2 linked regions of the Notamacropus eugenii genome follow. The protein of the gene in region 1 binds, or shares a complex with, the protein of each later gene. Links are inferred from orthologs where the notes say so. Each region holds a gene or a part of one and is shown in the gene's direction. Other genes may lie near its edges. The genes, in order: PRELID1 and TRIAP1.

The links.
Region 2: the proteins of PRELID1 (region 1) and TRIAP1 are in contact, whole or in part, in a crystal structure (PDB 6I3V), measured with the Homo sapiens proteins. The link is inferred for Notamacropus eugenii from reciprocal best matches to the Homo sapiens genes PRELID1 and TRIAP1. Residues at the interface, in NP_037369.1 of Homo sapiens: Trp15, Asp16, Phe19, Ala20, Trp23, Gln24, Tyr26, Pro27, Val34, Leu35, Thr36, Glu37, Asp38, Ile39, Val40, His41, Arg42, Val44, Gln48, Lys49, Leu50, Leu51, Ser52, Arg53, Leu55, Thr57, Tyr79, Leu81, Asp83, Ser84; in NP_057483.1 of Homo sapiens: Met1, Asn2, Ser3, Val4, Lys12, Tyr15, Asp16, Phe19, Asn20, Trp22, Phe23, Phe27, Leu28, Gly30, Asp31, Ser32, Phe41, Tyr44, Gln45, Val48, Gln49, Ile52, Ile57, Pro58, Ile59, Leu62, Glu63, Phe64, Met65, Gly66.

Annotation. Positions count from the first base shown.
Region 1 is NC_092872.1:414,152,592-414,160,089, forward strand, and holds PRELID1 (PRELI domain-containing protein 1, mitochondrial), read left to right. Parts: upstream 1-4,678; intron 4,679-5,282; 5' UTR 5,283-5,438; coding exon 5,439-5,573; intron 5,574-6,023; coding exon 6,024-6,137; intron 6,138-6,297; coding exon 6,298-6,376; intron 6,377-6,943; coding exon 6,944-7,095; 3' UTR 7,096-7,301; downstream 7,302-7,498. UniProt on the Homo sapiens protein: Involved in the modulation of the mitochondrial apoptotic pathway by ensuring the accumulation of cardiolipin (CL) in mitochondrial membranes.
Region 2 is NC_092875.1:24,824,598-24,830,775, forward strand, and holds TRIAP1 (TP53-regulated inhibitor of apoptosis 1), read left to right. Parts: upstream 1-4,183; coding exon 4,184-4,330; intron 4,331-4,651; coding exon 4,652-4,735; 3' UTR 4,736-5,676; downstream 5,677-6,178. Other genes in the region: SRSF9 (serine/arginine-rich splicing factor 9), read left to right, coding at 106-278, 1,147-1,290; GATC (glutamyl-tRNA(Gln) amidotransferase subunit C, mitochondrial), read right to left, coding at 2,345-2,394, 3,288-3,391, 3,744-4,063. UniProt on the Homo sapiens protein: Involved in the modulation of the mitochondrial apoptotic pathway by ensuring the accumulation of cardiolipin (CL) in mitochondrial membranes.

The DNA of each region.
Region 1 (7,498 bases):
GTGGCAGCATTCCAGTTACCACCAGCCTGATCAAACCTGAAGTACTGGCATCTTTAATTCTATGGCCAACTACATCCCCCAAAACCCAACCAGGCCAACTCTAGAGGGTCCCTTTCAGTCAGCAGCTGCCACACCATAGAAACCCTGTAAGTCACTAATGTTTCACCTAGGAGAAAACTAGAGAAAGGAACTTTTCAGTACAGTTTCATGAAGCCAGTCACATCAGAGGACACCTAGATACTCAATCTGTCTTCCAGGCTCAGGTAAGGAGAGGAACAATCTTAAGTAACTTTTCCTTCCCACATGAATACATTCCTCCCTTCCCATGAAATAGTAAGGAAGTGGGTCAACTATCAGTGGGGGGATGGGGAGGGACTTTATTTACAAGGCAGAAGCCACTTAAATTATGTGCAGAAATACAAGTGCTGCCCAGCAAATAGGAGAGAGCCCAGAGTCAGAACTGGCCTCCTCTCGCCTTTCGGTCTGCTGCTGCCTGTGATCCTGGGCCAGCACAGGCCCATCCCTTTCTGCCTCGGGCTGTGGGTAGCTCAGACAGCCCCTCAACCAGCAGAGAGCAGGCAAGGGTCCAGCAGGGTCCCTTCCAGGTGATACGGTGGCTCTCAATGATGGCAGCAACTGTAGAAGAAGGTGTTGCCCTTCTGACTCAAGTCAACGCCTTTGTCCTCTGCAGAGAGATGGAAGCAAATATTAACCACTCATCATCAAGAAAGGATCACCATTCAGACCTTCACTCTAAAGTGCCTGGGTCTGAATCCTAGTTAGCCACTTTTTACCTACATGAGACATGTTATTTCAGGTCCCTGCTGCCTCTAAAATGAGGGAATTGGATCAGAATGTTCAAGGCTCCTTTCAACACTAAATCACCATAATCAAAGAAGTAGGCAAAAAGGGAGGGCCACAGTTTGGAAGCAGACCTCACCTGTCATCAACTGGAAGGCAGCCACACTGACGTAATCTTCTGCCACCTTCTGGAACAGTTCATCTAGGTAGTGAAGGAGGGTGAGGTAATAAGGCAAGGAAAAGCCAATGATTGTTTGACTACTCCCATTCTCACAAGCTAATGATACTGTCTTGTAAGGCCAGATTTTGCCACTGTTCAGATACCCAGTATCCTAGGACAACCTTTGCATTTCCTAAAAATACATTTCCTTTCATCCAGTTCTGGGATCACTGCCTGCCATGCTATCCCCTCTCCAACTCTCTTTCCTAAGTCTGGCTTTCCCAGACTGACTAAAACCAGGTCTAGAGATTACCTGGGCCCCAGACAGTACTTACCTACACTCTGGCCTGTCTTGCTAGATGTCTCAAAGAGCTGAGCTTTTATGTCTGTAAACACACAGCTCAGAGTGAGCAAGTAAGGCTGACTTACCCATGTCCTGCCCTTCCTGGGATGAGCACCCAGCAAGAGGATAAAAAGAGTAGGGCTGGATAAAAGATGGCAGAAAAGCCAAGGAAATGGGAATTTCATGTGATTTACCTCCACCCCTTGGCATGAGTTTGCTTCCAGCCCTTCCAACCTCATATGGGCATCTTCCCAGGGACAGAGAACCACAACTATCCCCATAGGCATGAAAGAAAGTATAAAACAAAAATCGTGCCACTTTTTTTGACCAGTCTTCTGTGGCTCCCTCCCTCCCAGCCCTCAAAGAACAGTAGGTACCATCTGCATAATCTTGGACATCATGGAAGTCAACCCGGCGCAGTCTTCGATCTTCCTCCAGAAGGTCACTCTTGGTGCCACACAAGTAGATCTGACAGCTCTGCAGTGGGCAGAAATCAGGGGTCAATCGATATCAGGGTCCTTCCACTGCCCAGCCCAGGAGAATGACAATGATAACCATCAGATACCATTACTGCTGCAGTTTACAACTACAAAGTGCTTTCCTCACAAACATCTAGGCTGCAGGTATTACTACTCTCATCCTGTAGATAAGGAAACTAAGCCTCACAGAGACCAAATGACTTGCTCTTGGTCACACAGGTAATAATTAGTGTAAGAATCAGCACTTGAAATTAAGTCCCTTTTAAGAGATCTAGTGGTATAGTGGTTAGATTTCTGGACAAGTGTCAGGAAGACCTATTTTGAAATTCTGTCCTGGACATTTAGTAGTTGTATCACCACATGCAAACTAACCTAATTCTCAGTTTTCTCTTGTGTAGAATGGGAATAATACCTATTATTAGATCTGTTGTGAGGCTTAAATGGGATAAAGTACGTTAAAACATTCTAATATCAGCTACTATTTTTTTCCCAATACTACAAAGCCTCTCAAGACAAGCAAGGTCCTGAGCTCTCCCTGTTCATGGCTTTACAAAGTCCTCAAGGATCAGAAGCACTACTTAGCTCCCAAGTACACTTACCTCTTCTAAACTCTGAAGCTCCTTTACCCAGAATTTGGCTCGTTCAAAACTACTGCTGTCAGTAAGATCTGGGAATAAAGGAGTGCAGAAAGGCTGTTAACCACCTCCATGTAAACCACTGCTCATGAAAGGCTGAAGAGCCTGGGCTGGGGGTGAAGATAACCTTACCATAGCAGACAATGGCTGCCTTGGCACCACGATAATAGATTCGACTCATGGCCTCATAGCGCTCGGAGCCAGCTGTGTCCTACAGAGAATCAGGTGAAAGCTCATCCCTGGTCCCTAACTTGGGAATAACCTGGACAAGGACCCTTCTACCCACAATTCCCAGGGATTAGGTCAATCAGAAAAGCCTGAATTATTACAGATGTTCTCTAGTCTTGGTATTTCTCAGATGGAGAAACAGAAGTATAGGAGGTCATTTGCTGAGGTTTACCAGGCTTATCAGGGACAGAACTGAGAATTCTAAGCTACAGTACAGCACTGAGAAGCTGACGGCTCTCCAAGATGGCCCAACACCCTCTTGCCCAGGTGGTCCTATACAGTTCAGAGTCTTTTGGGTGGGGAAGCCTCTCTTGGAAATATCTCAGGAAATAAATATCCCCTGGAAAGCCCTTCATCCAATAGGGCAAGTAAGTGTTGGTGTGTCCCTGTCACTCACCCAAATGCCTAGTGTCACTGTTCTGTCTCCCACAGACATCACCTTGGCCACAAATGCTGCCCCAATGGTCTGTGGGGAGGGGGGAGGAAGGAGACAGTCATTCCCCCTTTCACAACAATGCTTGTTACTATTATTATTATTAACAATGCTTATGCCACCCACTGCAGTAGACACAAGACTTTTTCACTTCCCTTTTTTCTGACACCCCCCCCTCCCTAATAACACTAGGACAGATAGCAGGAAATATTTTACCTTTTTTACAAGAAAGGAAACTGAGGTCCAGAAAGGGGACATGAATAGCAAATTCCCACAGGGGATCAGGGGCAAAGTTGGGGCTCAAAAATCAGGTTGACTGGCTGCCCCCCACATTCACAACCAAGCCTTAGCACCTCCGTGCGCCCGGCGTGCTCCCCTCCGCACCCGGTCCCGGACCCCGCGCCGGGGCGCGCCCGCACTCACATTCTGGTAGGGCCCCACCAAAAAGCGATCGTGCACGTATCTCTCCACGAGGCTCGTCTTGCCCACATACTCCTTGCCCAGCATCACGACCTTCACGTCCACGCGCTGCCCGCTCATGCTCCCGGGGCCCAGGCCGGGCAGGGGCGCGGCGGGCCGGGCGAGCAGACCACAAGCTTTACCTGCGCCGGACACGGGCCCGCCTGAGCGCGTCGGAGCCGGGCCCGGCCTCGGCTCTTCTGCTCCGGCGCCGGCCCCGTCAGCCCGCGGGACACGGCCGGGGGCCTGCGCTTGGAGCCCGTGGGCCCGGGGATCCCCGATCAAGACCCCTCACCCCGCCCGCCACACACATACACACGCCTGCCTACGCTTGAAGAGCCCGGGTCGGAATGCCGGTCCAGGCTGCTCCACCTCACGCGAGCCTGCGAGCCTGCGTCCTCTTACCGGGGCCGCATGCTCCCGCTCCTCCTGCCGCGGCCGCGGCCACTCCGGGGCCAGTCCGGTCCCGCTGCCCGTCCGGTCCCGGTGCTCGGAGACCCCCGAGCTAGAGCAGCCCGAAGGAAGCCAAATGGGGGGGGGGGGAGCCGGCGGGGGGAACGGGGAGGAGCCACACGCCTCACGTGACAGGAACACCGGAAATGCTCCTGCGGAAGGGGCGGGGCTTGAGAGGGTCGGGCTGGGGCCGGAAGTGCCGAGCGGCCGGACACCCCCTCATGGCGGCGGCGGCGACGGCGGCGGCGGTGGCTGCAGAGGTGGCGGCGGCGGCGGCTTTGGGACGGTGACGGAGAGCTCGAGCCCGGCAACCCATCTCTCCTCTACCCCTCGATGCTGTGCGCCCCCTGACACTGCCCCGACCCCGACCCCGACCCCCGCCGGGACGATGGTGAAGTATTTCCTGGGGCAGAGCGTGCTCCGGAGCTCCTGGGACCAAGTGTTTGCTGCCTTCTGGCAGCGTTACCCCAACCCTTACAGGTGAGGACAGGAGAACCCGGCCCCCCGACCCCCCACGGGCGAGGGCTGGAGACAGAGGAGGGCGGAAGACTCCCGGCTCACACTCCGCCCCCTTCACAGCTCTCATAGAAGAGAGGAACACCCAGAAGCCCCCTCCCCTCCAGGCACCTCCGGGGACGGCTAGAGCCTCCAGTCCTCGAAGCGCTGTGGGTGGTGACCCTAGGCATTTTTGCCCCCTCCCCCTCCCCCCTGGGAAAGAGAAGCCCCCACCCCGAGCTCGTTGGAATCCAGCCCGGGAGCCCGAGCCGGGGGAGGGGGGGAGGGGGGGAGGGGGCCGCTTACCTCTGCGGTGCGGGGCGCCTTCTTCCAGGTGGCACCTGCCAGGCTTGGCCAAAGGGGCGTCAGGTTTGGACTTCGCCCTGGACCTGAGCCCCACCTAACCTGCCCGAGATTGGAAGTGGGGCAGGACTCCTGTCCGGGAACACCTTCAGCCTGAAGCCTGAGCTGCAGTTTCCTCTTTTTCTGCCCCTTCCTTCGCCCAAACAGGATGACTTGAGGAACATTGATTTGACTTCCCTTTTTTTTATTTCTCAAAATATTCTGTATTTAAATATCAAATGAGATCAGTATTTTCACCCATGTTGTAAAAGCAGAGGAGGGGATTGGATGCCCAAACAGGATGTCTTGAGGAACTTTGAATTTACTTCCTTTTTCTTTTTTTAATATTCTGAACTAAATAAATATCTAATAAGATCCATATTTTCATTTCACTTAGGGAAGGAGTTGAACATAAAACTGAATCTCTTATGGAAAGTGGTGCTTTTCTTTTTAGGTACCCAATAAATTCATCGTGTAGCTTTCCAAGCTCATCTCCTGTGTTGTGTGTTTCCCACGCAGCAAGCATGTGCTGACGGAGGACATTGTGCACCGGGAGGTGACTCCTGACCAGAAGCTGCTGTCCAGGCGGCTTCTAACCAAGACCAACAGGATGCCCCGCTGGGCGGAGCGCTTCTTTCCTGCTAATGTAGCCCACTCGGTGTACATCCTGGAGGACTCCATCGTGGACCCACAGAACCAGACCATGACCACTTTCACCTGGAACATCAACCATGCCCGGCTGATGGTTAGTGACTCTTTAGCACCCACTCATTTAAAGGAGGAGTCCCAGAAAAGAGAGGAAGCAGGCTGGTTCAGAAAGAAAAGTGAAAAGCAGTTTGTGATTCTTGACCTGCCACTACTTTGCTGAGTGGCACTTGGTAAATCCCTTTTATCTCTCCAGGTCATAGTTTTCTCATCTTTAAACTGAGATGTAGATTTGATGACTTGTGAAGGTCTTTCTGAATATAGGCAAGTTTCTTAACCTCTGTTTGCCTCAGTTCCTTCATCTGTAAAATGAGGGTAATAGTATCACTTACCTCTCAGGGTTGTTGTGAGGATAAAAGGGGATAATAATTGTAAAGCACCTAGCACATAGTAAGCATCATATAAATCTTGATTTTTGGCTCTAGGCCTTGTAGAATCTTGTTCTTCTTAGGGTCTAGATTACTGAAAACTTGTGATCATTTCATTCCAGGTGGTGGAGGAAAGATGTGTTTACTGTGTGAACCCTGAAAACAGTGGATGGACTGAAATCCGACGGGAGGCCTGGGTCTCCTCCAGTTTGTTTGGGGTCTCCAGAGCTGTACAGGTAACATAGCACTTTGGTGAAATGCCAAAGGTGCCATCAGTGGGGGTAGGATGTTTGGTTCTTCCTTGGCTCTGAGCACCATGGATTGTCCTGGGCATGAGCAGTGACTAGAAGTGCTAAGAGACAGCTCTTCATACCCGATCCCATCTTGTCCTTTCAGGAGTTTGGCTTAGCTAGATTCAAAAGTAACGTGACCAAGACCATCAAAGGCTTTGAGTACATCTTGGCCAAACTGCAAGGTAAGAACCAAGGGCTTTAAGTCTGGGGAGGAACACAGGGTGTAGGTGCTGGCACTAAGTATGAGGATCCCAAGAAAAAAAGTTTGAAACAGTGCTGAATTAGGAGTTACATGGTTTGAATCTTGAGTTTAGCATTTGATACCCATATGACCTTGGTTAGGTGACTTAACCTTTCTTGGCCTCAATGTTCTTATCAGTAAAATTACAGATTTGGAAAAAGATCAATTGAGATTCCTTCTCGAACCCAAGCTATCATTGGGTATGAGGCTGCTACTTAAGCCCTGCCCCTCAAACTTGTGACACCAGCCACCCTCTAAGGTATAGCTGCAGAAGAGCTTGAATCAGGTCAAAGACCAAATGTAGTTTAGTGTGGTGTGGTGGAAGAAGCACTGGACTTGGAGTCACAACTCCTAGGTTCAAATTCTTGATGTTATCCATGTTACCCTTTGATCTTGAACAAGGTTCTTATTCTCTCCGAAATGCTATTTCTTTATATGTCATACCAATCAGCTGGTTTCAGTTTTCATTGTACCTTCTAACTGATACTCTGAGATTCTCTTTTTGCAGGTGAAGCTCCTTCTAAGACACTTGTTGAAACAGCTAAGGAAGCAACTGAGAAGGCGAAGGAAACTGCTCTGGCAGCTACTGAGAAAGCCAAGGACCTGGCCAGCAAAGCAGCCACCAAGAAGCAGCAGCAGCAACAACAACACTATGTTTAAAGGAGTCACCTTACTGCTGCCCTCCCAGATCGCCAGTACCCAAGGCTGAGAGCCTCTTGGCAAGACCTGGCATTGGGCCTGGAGCCCCAGCCCCTCAGCGTCTACCATCAACACAATGCAAGCCACAGACAATCCAGCTCTTGTCCCATTACCCGCCCTGTGTCCAAGTTGTAATTTATCATTAAAAATCAATTTTTAGTGCTGTCCTTGGCCTGTGGAGGTTTCTAAGCCTTGGGGGTAATTAAGTGATCCTGCCAGGTTTATAATGAAGTCTCACAGCCATCAGCCTTGAAACATGCTAGTGACTGCAACTTACCCTTCCTTTGTAGTCCTGAAGAAATAAAAGGGTCTACAGGCAGAATTAAGAAAAAGTTTTTTTTACTGAAAATACTGTATGGTATCT
Region 2 (6,178 bases), on another chromosome or scaffold:
AGTGACAAAGCCTGTCACTGGACTAGATGTGGGGGAGGAGCCCTGGCCCATCTGGAATGTTGAGACCTTTCACACGCTGTCTTGTTTTGTGTTCTCCATGCTCAGGCCTTCCTCCCTCAGGCAGCTGGCAGGATTTGAAGGATCACATGCGAGAAGCTGGGGGTGTGTGTTATGCAGATGTGCAGAAAGATGGCATGGGGGTAGTTGAGTTCCTCCGAAAGGAAGATATGGAATACGCCCTGCGTAGACTGGACGACTCCAAATTCCGTTCTCATGAGGTGGGTTCCCACCTTTTGTGGAAGAACTTCTATAATCCCATGGCAGTTGGGCCTGCAGCTGTCCTCACTGCACAGAAGGCTGGTAGATAGCTTGTTAAATAATCTCAGAGTAACAGTAAGGAACCTTAGTGGACAAGCCAACATCTTTCGTGCCCAAGTCTTACAGACCCTAGCAATGGTCCTTTAGTACCTGGAGAGAATCGGCAAGTAGGTCAGCATGAGTGAGCCACCTCTTTCCCACCTGTTTAAGAGAGCTTTTGTGGATTATGCCTCCAGTGGCTGAACTTGAGCTTTCACAAATTCAGGAAGCTGTCATCTCATTGTAGTTGCTTTCTTGGAAGTGACTTAAGGATTGTGTCCCAGGCCTCTTACAAACACAACTTATCTTGATGTGGCTACTGTCCCTTTATGTGCCTGGTAATTTGTGAGTGAAATTCCTTTCTGTAAGGAATGACTAAGCTGTTGGCTTCCTGATACCTTGGGGACCTAAAGGAGAGACCTCTTGGACCTTCCTCCCCGTTGTCCTGATTGCCTTCAACATACAAACGGTGTTTAAAATTCCTGTATTCCCAGTTACCAAATTTTTTTTCCTTCCTTAAAAGTGGTTTGCCTCACTCACCTGGCAACTGGTTCGACCGTGCCATTGCCCAAACCACCTTACACTTCAAGAGCAAAGTGGCCACGGTTGTGAACTTGCAATGATCTTGCAATCATGAAGTCTTCTGCTTAAGTTTAGGATAACACTTGGGACACTTGGACCTTCTTCCACTTACCGGCCCAGAATAGGCTGGATATGAGTCCCTGTTCTTCCTTCCCCTACCCATCTTCATCCCTCACTTTTTTTTCCTTCCTTTTGTTTGAATTTCAGGGTGAAACTTCCTATATCAGAGTTTATCCAGAAAGAAGCAGCAGCTATGGCTACTCCCGGTCCCGCTCAGGGTCAAGGGGCCGTGATTCTCCATACCAAAGCAGGGGCTCCCCATACTACACCTCTTCCTTTGCACCATATTGAAACCGCTTATGAGGTTTTTTTGGTTCTGTTTTTTGTTTGTTTTTTTTTTTAGTGTGAACTGAGTTGCTCTCTGCTCGGAATCTACATTCCAAATTGACTTAGTATCTTAGGATTTTTTTTTAATAACTTTTTTTTTAAAGGAAAAACTACATACAACTACATACATACAGTTTCTACCAGGGCCATATTGGCAGTGAAATATTTTGAACTGCTGCAGTTGTTTTGGTTTAGAAGCAAGTTGCATAGTTCCCCTTCCTCCCCCAATTATGGAGAAAAAGCAATGCTGTGTCAAGGTGGGTTACTCTGCACAGACACTATATATAGGAATCAGCCCATTCTGTTTAGAAATATATTTCTAAAGTTTAATAGTTTCCAAGTCGTGGTTATTTTAATTACGTAAACTCAGTTTTTCTGTGCCAGGCAGATAGAGGATTAAAAGAATAAGAGAAGTTATCTGAACAGAACTTCTCAGTAGGGGCTTGAACGGGAACAGTCGGTGGTGGTCTGCTGTTAGACGAAATCCAGTGCTGAGCTTTTCAGTCTGTTTCTCTCTGAATGGAGGCTTTGGCAGTAGAGGAAATCACTGATAAAAGAAGATACTTTATGAAGAGACTAGGAATACTTAGGGAGGAAATATGAATAATCCAGACTGCATGGAGTCCTTTGATCAGGAAAAAACAAATTCTTGGGCAAAAGTGCATTTTGGTTAGAAACTCACTCTACATAACAGCATGCAGAAACTCTGAACCAAAGGTGATTTTGCAATTACCACAAGACACTTCCAACATGTGACCCAGGTACTAAGTGAATTCCTGATCCATTTCCTGGGAAGCTTTTCTCCAAGTCCCTAGTCTTCCTTGACCTCTATCGGGGAGAGCAGGATCTCACTTCAGCAGTTCTCCATCCTCACCCCATCTTCACTGGAGAGCAGCAGGGGGAGAGGAGAAAAGGGGCCAGAACCTGGTTGTGTTGAGGAAGTTCAAGGGAGTTTTTTTCAACTTAGTCTTTCCCAAGGTCCTCCATCTACATCATTTCCTACTGTGAGCACTATTCCTCAAAGCAGTGCTGGATCTTGTTCACTTTGTTTTGGCAGAGTGATGTTCCCTGTTTAAAATCCAAAAAGGAAAGAATTACAGTTAAGCCTAACTCTTCTTGCTTCTGAAACTAGTTGGTGTTTCATGAAAACAATGTTGTCACCACTCTGCTTTCTCAGCTAGGAATACCTGGATCACTACTAGATTTGCTACACATTTAAGAGGGAAAGGAGTGCCCATTGTGGAATTACCTAACATCCTCAGACAGTGGGGGTTGCAATTGGCAGAAGAAACATCCACACCAAAGTAATTCCTGAAATACTTTAGATAGGCACCTCTGAGCAGTGGGAAGGAAATGAAAACTACCTGGCTTAGTTCTGGATTGGGGTTTTTTGTGAGGGAGGAGGTTATCAATCAGTGAATCCATATAGTCACTTGACACATCCCAAGAAGAGGAATTTGAATCCATATTCTCCAGAAAAAAATCTATATGGCTCAAGGGTACTCCCCCTGCTTCCAGCAACTACTTGGTAACGTTTAAGTAATTCACAGAACCAGAGACACTCTACGATCTATACCAAATTGAGATTCCCTGACCCAACCGGAATCCCTTTCAGTATGGGGGTAATATGGAAGTGCTATGCCCTCTACCAGCTTCCTGGACTGGCATCTAAGCTGGGCATACGTCGGAGAAGGGTGAGGATACAACGCTGTTATGAAGCTCAAAGTCCAAAATGTAGAACTGACTTCAAAAAACAGGCTGCTAAGTTGTGGGGTTCAAATGGGCTGAAAGTCTTACATGGAAAAGGTTTACAACGCGTTTACAGCCTAAGGGTGGCTAACACCTCCCTGGGATTCAAACAGCACTTTATACTCCCAGAATCATTTCAAACCTATTCATCCCCCCCAAACCTTGCCTCTGAGCTGCAACATGACTGCCCAGCACCCCAATGTAGCATCTACCTGGGGGTGCCACAAAATACTCCTCCACAGTCTGCTGCGAGTTCTGCAGCAGGTCTTCCACACAGCCGCCTTCTACCACGTCGTCGGCTCTCAGGTACAGGCACCTACAACAGTCCAGAAGCCCGCCCCATAGGCAAGGGGCCCGGACCCCGAGCTTCTGCCGCGGGGGTACGGGGCGGGGGACCTCCACCAGCCCTGGGGCCGGTCTCCACACTAACCCAATCACTTGGAGCCGCGTTTTCGCACTTTTGGGTGGGGTGGATTTCCACTACTCGTGACCTCCTGCTGACACCGGAGGCACGCCCACCCCGCTCCTGGGAGGGTAACTGCAGATGACGTCATGTCATCGAGGGGGCCGTTAAAACGCCGGCACGTGTGGCGCTCCTGCGCTGGGCGATCGGGGATCCCTGCCCGAGGAGCCCCCGCGTGCACACGGACGTGCACGGCCTTGCCTACCGGTCCTCCAGCACCGACTCCATGGGCGCCACGCCGTCCGTGTCCACGGCGCGGAGCTTCTCCGCAAACTCGATGGCCGCCCGCAGCCGCTCTACGCCCTCGCGGTTTCGGAAATCCACCAGGGCCAGGCGCTCCAGGTGCTCGATCAGCTCGGCGCTCACTCGGTCGCCCGGGCGGGGGCCGGGGGGTGGGGGCTTCCCCGAGTCGTCCCCCGCAGACCGGCAGCTCCCGACTCGTGCTCCCGGCCCCCCGGCTATGGCGCCCCTCACGCCGGGGCTCAGCCCTGTCCGCAGCGTCCGCTGGAGCATCCGACGCCACATCTCCGGGGTCGCGGCCGCCTCACTGCGAGCCGGAAACGGGCGCTCCGGCGTGACGTAAGCGGCGCTCCGCGAGTGACGTCGGCAGCGCGCCGTCGCCCTTCCACTGCGGGGCTGGTCGCCATGAACAGCGTGGGAGAGGCCTGCACCGACATGAAGCGAGAGTACGACCAGTGCTTCAACCGCTGGTTCGCCGAGAAGTTCCTCAAGGGCGACGGCTCCGGGGACCCCTGCACCGACCTCTTCAAGCGCTACCAGCAGTGCGTGCAGGTGAGCCCCGAGAGCCGCGGGTTGGGCGTGGGCCCTGCGTGGCCGTGGCCACTGGGCTCCCGAGCGCCGCCGGCCGGACTGGTCACGTGCCGGCGCGGTGGTGGGGAGGGGTCGGCGGCCCAGCCCTGGGATCCCCTGCTGTGTGCCTCTGAGGCCTGAGTGCCCAGCTCGGAGCTCCCCGAGGAGGGTCACAGGTCGGGAAGCCAGCCCAGCGCTTGGCGACGTTGGTCTGATTCCTCGTCCGGTCAGGAGCGCTTTAGATTCTTGAGACGCTCCTTTCTCTGAGTCTTTCCTTTGTATATGTCATTTCTCAATCCACAGAAAGCGATCAAGGAGAAGGAGATTCCTATAGAAGGGCTGGAGTTCATGGGCCACAGCAAAGAGAAGTCGGAAAGCTCTCCTTGACCTTGACGGCCGCCTTCGCGATGACCTTTTCAGCTGCAAACATTCAGACGTCAGGAAGACTGGTCTCTGGAGACGACTGGTTTTTAGGAGCTTTTTAGAGGAAGAGTCCCTTAGGTTTATTTACTGAAAGGCTCGGATAGACCTTTATTATTTGCTTTCAGGTGACGGATGGCACCTCGCTGGTGTGGCATCTTGCAGTACCAAACATGGCATAAGAGAACAAGTCTTTAGATGAACAGAATGTACCTTGGTCTGCTGCACTTATGTGGTCTGCACAGAAATACCAGTACATGTACTCCTGAGTCAGAATGGCTACGTTGTCCTGAATGAGGAATCCTTGCTGCAAAGTATTAATTTTTTTTCTGGAACCACACCTCTGATGCTCTGGGAGTGACTCCTGCATTTAATTAGCAACGTTTTGTTTGGGTAACGACGGAATAATGGTTAAAGGTGTGGAGCTAGCCAAAAAGGGATCTGCCTTTAGGAGACTACTGCCTGCTTTTAAGAAGAGGATTTAGATGGAATCAAAACAAAACAGGAAGTTCTTGAAGGCTTCTAAAGAAACATTTTGAGCTCCCAAAGTTTGGTACTAAGCGCACAAATTAAGGTGATTCCTGGTTTCCTCTGAATCTTGTGAATTTAGCTATGAAGGTACTAAAATATGCAGAAATCAGATTTTCTTGATTTTTAGGCTGTTTCATGAATGGTGATAGTGACTATAAAAAAATGCTGATAGAAATGACACCACTGGGCTTGAGCTATAGACTATCCTGCATGGGTTGGTGGAAGAGGGTTGTTTACAAGGCCTCTTGAATACCTTGACAGTTGCACATGGTTAATTGGGATGAAGAAAATAGTTTGCTTTATTTGCCTTATTTGTCTATCATGTTCTGTAACATTTGAAATCAGAGATGGAATAAATAACTGCTCTTTGGTTTATAGTTTACTTTCTCATCGACCTCGTAGCACTTCATCTCCAGCATGCCTGTAACATGGGTAGTTATCCTTAGACTGTCGAGTATATATGTCTAATCTTACATTAGATGAAAAAGCAAAAATTCTGAGCCTGGTGGGATTAGAACCCAGACCCCGTTGTTTCCATGACTAATCAGTAGGAATGAAGAGTGTCTCTTTGGAGAGAACAAATTCATATTTTGGCTACTCAAGACAGAGTACACCACCTGATGAGTGGGTGAGCACAGACTACCTTGACACAGCCCACCAACTGAACATCATTTGAATTTGTTAGGATTCTTACCAGCAAACCTTAGGTATCATCTTAGGGATTGAGTACTTTTGATACATGGTCATTTACAGACCACATTGTAATTAAGCTTATTTGTATGTTTAGTGAGACTAAAGATTTAAAATAGGATCATAACATTTTTGGGTTCCTAAAAATCAGTCATGTTTCAATAAAATGCTTTAAATATCATTCTTAGT